2 linked regions of the Canis lupus familiaris genome follow. Each later gene encodes a partner of the first gene's protein in a complex. Links are inferred from orthologs where the notes say so. Each region holds a gene or a part of one and is shown on either strand. Other genes may lie near its edges.

Region 1 (4,231 bases):
CCCTTTCTGATATTTCTCACACATTTCTTCTCCCTTCCCTTGTATTCCCTTTCACTATTATTTATATTCCCCAAATGAATGACAACATACACTGTTTGTCCTTCTCCGCCTGACTTACTTCACTCAGCATAATACCCTCCAGTTCATCCACGTCGAAGCAAATGGTGGGTATTTGTCGTTTCTAATGGCTGAGTAATATTCCATTGTATACATAGACCACAGCTTCTTTATCCATTCACAGTCGATTTTAGAACGAGGTCTTTACCGGAGAAGAAAGCCCTTAACCTCTAGGTGTCTCCCCTCCCCTTCGCGCTCCTCTACCTTCCGGCTCTGCAGAGCTCCCCTTCTGACTTTCGGGGCGGGCGGCGGAGTCCTACACTATGCGCTCCTGTGACCGGCTTCTCTCACTTGGCATCATGCTTTCAAGATCCACGGGGCAGCACAGGAGCCCCTTGAGCAACACCGGTTTGAGCTGCACAGGTCCACTGGAACGTGATTATTTTGATACAGCACCATAAACATATTTTCCCTAATGATGTTAAGGTATTTTCGGGCTATCGTAAGCATACAGTATGTAACACGGATAACACACAAAATATGCCAACTGGCTTCCCAGCAACAGCAGGTCTTGGTAAAGTTGTGGGGGAGCCAAGCCATACATGCATTTTCCGCCGCACAGGTCTGCCCGCGCCGGCACCCGCAGCCCCCAGGTTGTTCAAGGGCCAACTGTACTGCATCCCTTTTTATGGCCGAAGCCAAGCCTGTCAACTATCAGGTCACCATCAGCGTCCTGGAAAGAAACGCGGCGAACGACCGGGTGACGGGCACGAGGGGGCAGTGTCGGGACGCGCACTGGGCGTTACAGTCCGTGCCGGCAAATCGAACTCCAACAAAAGCCTACAGGTATTAAAGAAAAGAAAAGAAAAAAAAAGAGAGGAGGCGAAAGGGGTTTGGAGGACAGGGTCCTCCGGAGTCGGCATCCGCGCGCCTCCCGGCGCCACCACGTCGCCCGAGGGGCCGGGCTGTCCGCGGGAAGCCGGGCCAGCTTTAACGGACGCCTCAGCCGAACCTGCTCGGGGCCGGCACCGGCCTCCCTGCACCGGGGGCTCCGCAGGGGGGATACTCCCGCCACTTCTGCGGGCACGGAACGACGCACCGGCGGCGGAGTCCCGCCCGCGGAGCCCCGGCCAGGCCGCGCCGGTCCCCCCGGTGTGAGCCGCTGCAGGCTCCGACTTTCAGGGGAGCGGACCGCGGCTCCCGCTCCCTCCCGGGAGGCCCGACCTGCACCGCCGAGCGCCACCCGACGGGGCGCCCGCCGCCCCAGCCGCCCCAGCCGCCCCAGCCGCCCCAGCCGCCCGCCGCGCCCGCCGCCTCACCGCCTCCTCTCGCCATCGCGAGATTTCCTGCGTCTTGCGTCCCGAGGGGGGAGTGCGCGGGAGGAGGGAAGGGCGGAAATCCGGAAGTGGGTTCTACCACCTGCTCGGAGCCGGGGTGGGACGGAGGGAGAAAGTAACGCAGTAAGTAGACGAGTTCCTCGTTGGGACGCACTACCTAGAAGCCGTCAACTGAACAGCTCTGGCCAATGAGTTCCATGTACTCTCGACTTGTAGGTTTGAGGTTCCCGCCCGTGTCTTCGAAGTCCCCCCCCCCACAGCTTCCCGAATGATAGAAGTTTCCTAAGGCCTCTGATTCCAGAAGGTACTGTCCAGCGTCAAACTAGTCTCGAGTGAAAAATAAGTCTCAGGCGGCGCGGACTGCGCCTGCGCGCACTGTTGCGCCCTCCCGCGAGCGGAAGGCGTGTGCTCGGTTCCGGAGCGGTCTCCGCCGGTTGGGGAAAGTAAGCGCCGCGGCGGCACCATGGCGTCGGTCGGGACCCTCGCCTTCGATGAATATGGGCGTCCTTTTCTCATCATCAAGGATCAGGATCGCAAGTCTCGTCTTATGGGGCTCGAGGCCCTCAAGGTAACGGGCCGGCCGCGGGCGGAGGCTCGAGGGAGGCGGCCGGGGTCTGCGCCTGCGCGCGGCTGGGAGCGGCTCCGCCATGTGCTCCCGGGAGGGTCGGGCCCCGCTGCGCCCCGGGGCCCTGCGCTCCGCTCTCCGAGCTCGGGCGAGGCCGGCGTACGAGCCCGCAGCCCCCGCGTGGGGGCCGGGAGGAGCCGCGCGCGCCCTCCTGCGTTGGGGGCGCACTTGGGTGTTTGGGCGGCGCGCCCGCCCCCGAGCGCTTCTGCAGCCCCTGCTCGTCGGCCGACCCCGCCAGAGGGAAGGCGGCCACGCAGGACCGTGACGCGGGGTCCGGCAGGCGGCGTGCGGCTGCAGCCCCGTCGGGTGGGGCCAGCGGTGCGGGGGGGGTCCCTGCCTCGAGTGTGCCGCGGGCAGCCTGCGGGGGCGGGGGCGGGGGCGGCAGAGGCAGGCGCGTCGTCGGGGAGGGAGCGCGCAGCCTGCTTCAAGGCCCGCCGCTGCCCGCAGCTGGAAGTTGTGGAACGCGGCGGTCGGCGTGTTGGCCCCGGGAGGACGTGTAGGGCACAGCTGTGCGAGCAGGCGGGTCTGGGGGGCGCAGTCCCGGTGAGGAGGGCATCTGAACAGAAGAGGCAGGGGGAGGTGTGAGGACGGGCCCTCTCTCGGCTGGTGTCTTAAACGAGCGAAGACCCCGTGCAGCCCCCTCGCTGTTGGCCTTAGGACCCGCCGCCCCGCGTCTCTGAAGCTCCTTTGTCCGCGGGGCCGGTGCGCTTCTCTAGGGCAGTCAGCGGGAGGACCGCGTGGCATCGTGGTGTGTACGGCGGCCTCTGCGCCAGCTGTGCCCTTCCCTGCCACCGTGTGCTCTGCTCCTCTGTCACCCTCGTGCTGAGATGGGTATTCTCTTACGGAGTTGGAAACCTGGCCCTGAGGTTAAGAATCTGCTTCAGGGTTCATAGTTCATGGAGACTGGGGCCGTGATTCCAGCCCGCCTCTGGCGGACTCGGGAGCAGTGGTCTAGAGCCAGAGTTCTCAGCATTGGCATTGTTACTATTTGGGGGCCCAGTCATTGTGCGGGTCGGTGCGCGGCATCCGGGCCTCTACCCACTCCATCCGTGCCAAGAGCAGCCCCGGCCCCATTTGTTAGAACCAAAGACAGCTGTCCACGTTGCCGGCTACCTCCTGAGGGACAAAATCGTCCATGGTTAAGAACTGCTGATCTGTGGTGATTATCCTTTTAAAAGTCCATTATGCAGACAGATCCATCAATGTGTGATTTAATGGTTACCACCATTTTCACGGATCCGGGAAGTTTGTGTCTTTCCTTACCTGCCAGATGGAGTGCTGAGGAGGGCTTCACAGAACCTGTGTGTTTGAACTGCTTTGACAGTTGGTCAGGGTTTTGATGAGTGGAGAGCCTCCTGTGGCCCTTACTACAGGGATGGGAGACCATACTTGGGGAACAAGCATGGCCCATCAGCAGTGGGAAGGAACTAGCTCTCAGATTGTGGAGGGCATTGAAGAAGACGCCTAAGCCTTCAGACTTCAGTGTTGAGGCACTAGGGAGTCCCTGAAGCTTTGCCGACTGGCAGGTAACACGTTTGAGGAAGATGGATGAGGTAGCTGGATGTCAAGTGAATCTAAACAGTAGGAAGTGAGATCAGAGACCCTGGACCTCTGTAGGGCGCCGTGGGTCCAGGTCAGGTTGGCGACAGCAAGACTAGGAGCAAAGGAAACATGTGGAGGGATGAGCCTGATTCTATGTGCAAACAGGAGAGGATGCTTGCAAGAGTCTGTTACTGTACTGATACCCTTCGCACATGACAAGCAAGGATGACTTTCACATACAGGTCCTGTATTGGCTGGGCCGGGTCAGAGAGGGGTACGTCTCTGCAGTGCACTTTAGCCGGATAGTTCAGGTTGCTATATACGCACATCAGACTCATCACATAAAGTTAGCATTGCAGAGTGGTCTCGCAAGGCCTGTCCGCTTGGACTGCCTGTGCTCTCAGCTGTAAAATGGGGGCGGGTTAGAGAACCTGCCTCTTAGAAGTGCTGAGTTAAAGTACCAGGTTCTGGTTCTTTTACGTAAGAATGGTCTAGTAAAGATGTAGTTGTGAAGGTTACCGCACTTCTTTAGTGTGTTGCCTCTTAGATGTAGAAGCTTCTAGAGAAGGCAAAGTATATGATTAAATTTTATAACAATCAGATGCTTTTAATTATTAAAATTGCATGTAAGTTGAACATTTGTTTTTTTGTTTGTTTCATTTTTTAGTCT
Region 2 (3,620 bases), on another chromosome or scaffold:
ATTTAAAAAAATAAAATAAAATAAAACTCAGTATTTCAGTGTGCTTGAATTTTTCACAATAAAACTTGTATAGTTTTATTTTTTTTAATTTGCATAATAAACCATGCATAGTTCTATCTCCAGATGTGTCCTTCTCTCTGGCCTTTTCTAGATTTCACATGTAATAAAACCTCTGCTTTGAATCTCTGCCCATAAGCCTTATGAAGCCAACAAATTAGATGATATTTCTCTCAAGTTAGATAATTTTTATTATGAAGCATTCAGGAGATTTGCAATGTGGAAAGGGTACCTTTTAGTCTAAAGGAGAGGGATCCCTGGGTGGCGCAGCAGTTTGGCTCCTGCCTTTGGCCCAGGGCACGATCCTGGAGACCCAGGATCGAATCCCACGTTGGGCTCCCGGTGCACGGAGCCTGCTTCTCCCTCTGCCTGTGTCTCTGCCTCTCTCTCTCTCTCTCTCTCTCTCTCTCTCTCTCTCTGTGACTATCATAAATAAATAAAATTTTTTTTAAAAAATTTAAAAAAGGAAAGTTTTAGTCTAAAGGAGAGTTGTCAAATAACTTTACTAGAAAGGATTTTTTCAATTTTAAAAAAATTGTTATGTTTATTTTTAAGTAGGCTCCGTGCCCAGCCTGGAGCCCAACATGGGGCTTGAACTCATGACCCTGAGATCAAGAGTGGCATGCTGTACCAACTGAGCCAGCCAGGTGCCCCAAACATGGGAATTATGGTCCCTGTGGGTCCATGGAAAGCCTTCAAGAGGTTCATGAACCTCCCTGAAATTGTACAATGTGGTGTTTTGTGTATTTTTCTAGATAAAGGAGTCTTTAACATTCCTAGGTCTCTTAGAGGCATGTAAGAGTCAAAAAAGATTAAGCACCACTGATTTAAGGTAGAGGTTCCCCAATGCTACTGCCCAGCAAACATCACCTGTGCATGCATGCCCAAGTGATCTAAGCATTTGACTTGGAAAATTACTGAGCATTCTCAAACTATATAATGCTCTCTTTTAAAAAAAATATCACTGAGACTCCTGGGTGGCTCAGCAGTTGAGTGTCTGCCTTTGGCTTAGGGTGTGATCCCAGAGTTCCTTGATTGAGTGCCACATCGTGCTCCCTGCATGGAGCCTGCTTCTCCCTCTGCCTGTGTCTCTGCCTCTCTCTCTCTCTCTCTCTCTCTCTCTCTCTCTCTGTCTCTCATGAATAAATAAAATCTTAAAATTTAAATTAAAAAAATCTCACCAAAGATTAAATGTTACATTTAACTCCCACATTTTAGTTGAATCATCCTCTTGACGTAGCTATTAATATATATTGTTCTTTTTGTAGTGGGGCACCTGACCAAGTTCAGCACATATGAGGATAGTGCACAAAGAGCTAGACTAAAAAAGTACATCTTGGTTTCTGTAGGACTGTCCCATGGAGAGTTGGGTATGTCTGACATCTGTGGTCTCTCCTTGCCCTGTAGGCTCACGGGATGGCTCTATGGGACTCTGGGAGGTGACAGACGATGTGTTGACCAAAAGTGATGCAAGGCACAATGTATCACGGGTCCCTGTGTATGCTCACATCACTCACAAGGCCTTAAAGGACATTCCCAAGGAGGACACAAACCCTGACAACTGCAAGGTCCGGGCTTTGGCCTTCAACAACAAGAACAAGGTATGAGGTCGCCAAAGAGGAAGGCTGTTTCTCTTGCTTCAACTTCTTGGCTTATATCTTGGCACTTTGCTTCTCTTCCCAAGTCAGTTCTTGCTACATAGTTTAGTTCTGAGCCCATGGAAGATTGAAGGCTGAGGGTTGCTGGTGAGAAATTATAACTGAGATTGTGAAACCCAGCCCTTGCGTTGAGTTGTGCAGTATTTCTCTGGAGGGTCTGTATTTGTGGGTCAGCCTCTCAGAGTTACCTCAGAGCCACCTGTTTTTTACTATCTCTCATTTGCACATGCCTTTGCTGGTGCTCTATTTTGGGTGTGATTTTCATAAATCCCTCCAAAAATGATTGCTTTTTCGCTTTGGTATTGTTTCTTTTTATTCTTCACTGCCTCTTCTCAACACTGCCAGCAGATCTTAACCTAATCATTGGGTCATATCTGAAACTAGGGGTATTAAGTAGAATATTGGGATGGAGACTCAGACCCCAAAGAAGAGAAAAGGTCCCAAAATCTGAATCAGGCCACGATTTATAGGGTAGTTGCCTTAGTCTCCTATCTCATGGCCACAATTATTCCTTAGAGATAGATTTAGATCCTCCACTCATAGAACTCTCAAACTGCGATTTATGAAACTGTCCTTCATATGTGTGCTCTACTGTAACTATCCAATGGGATGTCATGGGAATGATAGCATAGTAAGAGTTTTTTGAACCATGGGTGTTTACATTACTGCTAGAACCTGGCTTCCTGCTTGAGTTCTCCCAAGAAGCAACCTTGATTTAATATGGTTTAATAAGGGGATCCCTGGGTGGCTCAGCGGTTTAGCGCCTGCCTTTGGCCTGGGATATGATCCTGGGGTCCCGAGATCGTGGGGTCCCAAGATCGAGTCCCATGTCAGGTTCCCTGCAGGGAATCTGCTTCTCCCTCTGCCTGTGTCTCTGCCTCTCTCTCTCTCTCTCTCTCTTCCTCCTCCTCCCTCTCTCACGAATAAATAAATAAATAAAATAAATAAATAAATAAATAAATAAATAATTTTAAAGAATAATAATGGTTTAATAATAATTAGCTGTCCAGCTACATTTTAGAGTAAGATGATGGGCTGACAATCCCTGGCTCCCCTCCTGGAATCATCATGGGTTAAGAATGAAGAATGGGAGGACCCCAACCTTCAGGGTCTTCCCCTGCTTATTACCATATATTAGTTGCTAGCTATTGAAATATAACCTGTTTTTCATTGCTCTTGTAGGAACTGGGAGCAGTATCTCTGGATGGTTATTTCCATCTCTGGAAGGCTGAAAATACACTGTCTAAGGTGTGATGAACATGACTCAGTGATTTTACCTAAAAATTCACCTTTTGGTTAAAATACTTTCATTCTTCCTGAGCCTTTTTGTTCTTGTCTAAAACACCAGTTTCAGGGCACCTGGGGGGCTCAGTGGTTGAGCATCTGTGGTCGGCTCAGGTCATGATCCAGGGTCCTAGGATCAGGTCCTGTATCAGGCTTCCCTCAGGGAACCTGTTTCTCCCTCTGCCTATGTCTCTGCCTCTCTGTGTCTCTCATGAATAAATAATAATAAGTAAATAAATAAAGTCTTTAAAATAAATAAAAATAAATAATAAACCACTGGTTTCTACTGGGCATGTTACTGCACAGTGCATGGAACCCTGAGTCTGACTTGCCTCTCAAGACTTTTCAAGAGATCAGAGGGGGACATTTTTTCACATTGCAAAAGACTTACTGAGAGACTCCTTTAACTAGCAGTCCTCTAGTCAAGGCTTTTAAGTACCTGCTTATGGAGATGCCTGGGTGGCTCAGTCGGTTAAGCGTTTGCCTTTGGCTCAAGTCATGATCTCAGAGTCCTGGGATTGAGTCCCTCATTGGGCTCCCTACTCTTGGGGAGCCTGCTTCTCCTCTCCCTCTGTTTGCCACTCCCTCTGCTTATTCTTGCTCTCTGTCAAATCAATTAAT

What was found. The genes of interacting proteins can lie anywhere in the genome.
Region 2: the proteins of CCT5 (region 1) and DCAF12 are in contact, whole or in part, in a cryo-EM structure (PDB 8AJM), measured with the Homo sapiens proteins. The link is inferred for Canis lupus familiaris from reciprocal best matches to the Homo sapiens genes CCT5 and DCAF12. Residues at the interface, in NP_036205.1 of Homo sapiens: Gly537, Glu538, Ser539, Glu540, Glu541; in NP_056212.1 of Homo sapiens: Lys91, Phe93, Lys108, His144, Trp186, Phe188, Arg203, Lys254, Arg256, Glu298, Val300, Arg344, Phe411, Tyr422, Leu440, Pro441, Ser442, Gly443.

What each region holds. Positions count from the first base shown.
Region 1 is NC_049255.1:4,210,476-4,214,706, reverse strand, and holds the start of CCT5 (T-complex protein 1 subunit epsilon), read left to right. Parts: upstream 1-1,372; 5' UTR 1,373-1,376; coding exon of another isoform or gene 1,377-1,392; 5' UTR 1,393-1,517; exon of another isoform or gene 1,518-1,565; intron 1,566-1,610; 5' UTR 1,611-1,857; coding exon 1,858-1,962; intron 1,963-4,228; coding exon 4,229-4,231. Other genes in the region: ATPSCKMT (ATP synthase subunit C lysine N-methyltransferase), read right to left, coding at 1,377-1,392. UniProt on the Homo sapiens protein: Component of the chaperonin-containing T-complex (TRiC), a molecular chaperone complex that assists the folding of actin, tubulin and other proteins upon ATP hydrolysis.
Region 2 is NC_049232.1:51,087,567-51,091,186, reverse strand, and holds part of DCAF12 (DDB1- and CUL4-associated factor 12), read left to right. Parts: intron 1-1,464; coding exon 1,465-1,658; intron 1,659-2,897; coding exon 2,898-2,963; intron 2,964-3,620. UniProt on the Homo sapiens protein: Substrate-recognition component of a DCX (DDB1-CUL4-X-box) E3 ubiquitin-protein ligase complex of the DesCEND (destruction via C-end degrons) pathway, which recognizes a C-degron located at the extreme C terminus of target proteins, leading to their ubiquitination and degradation.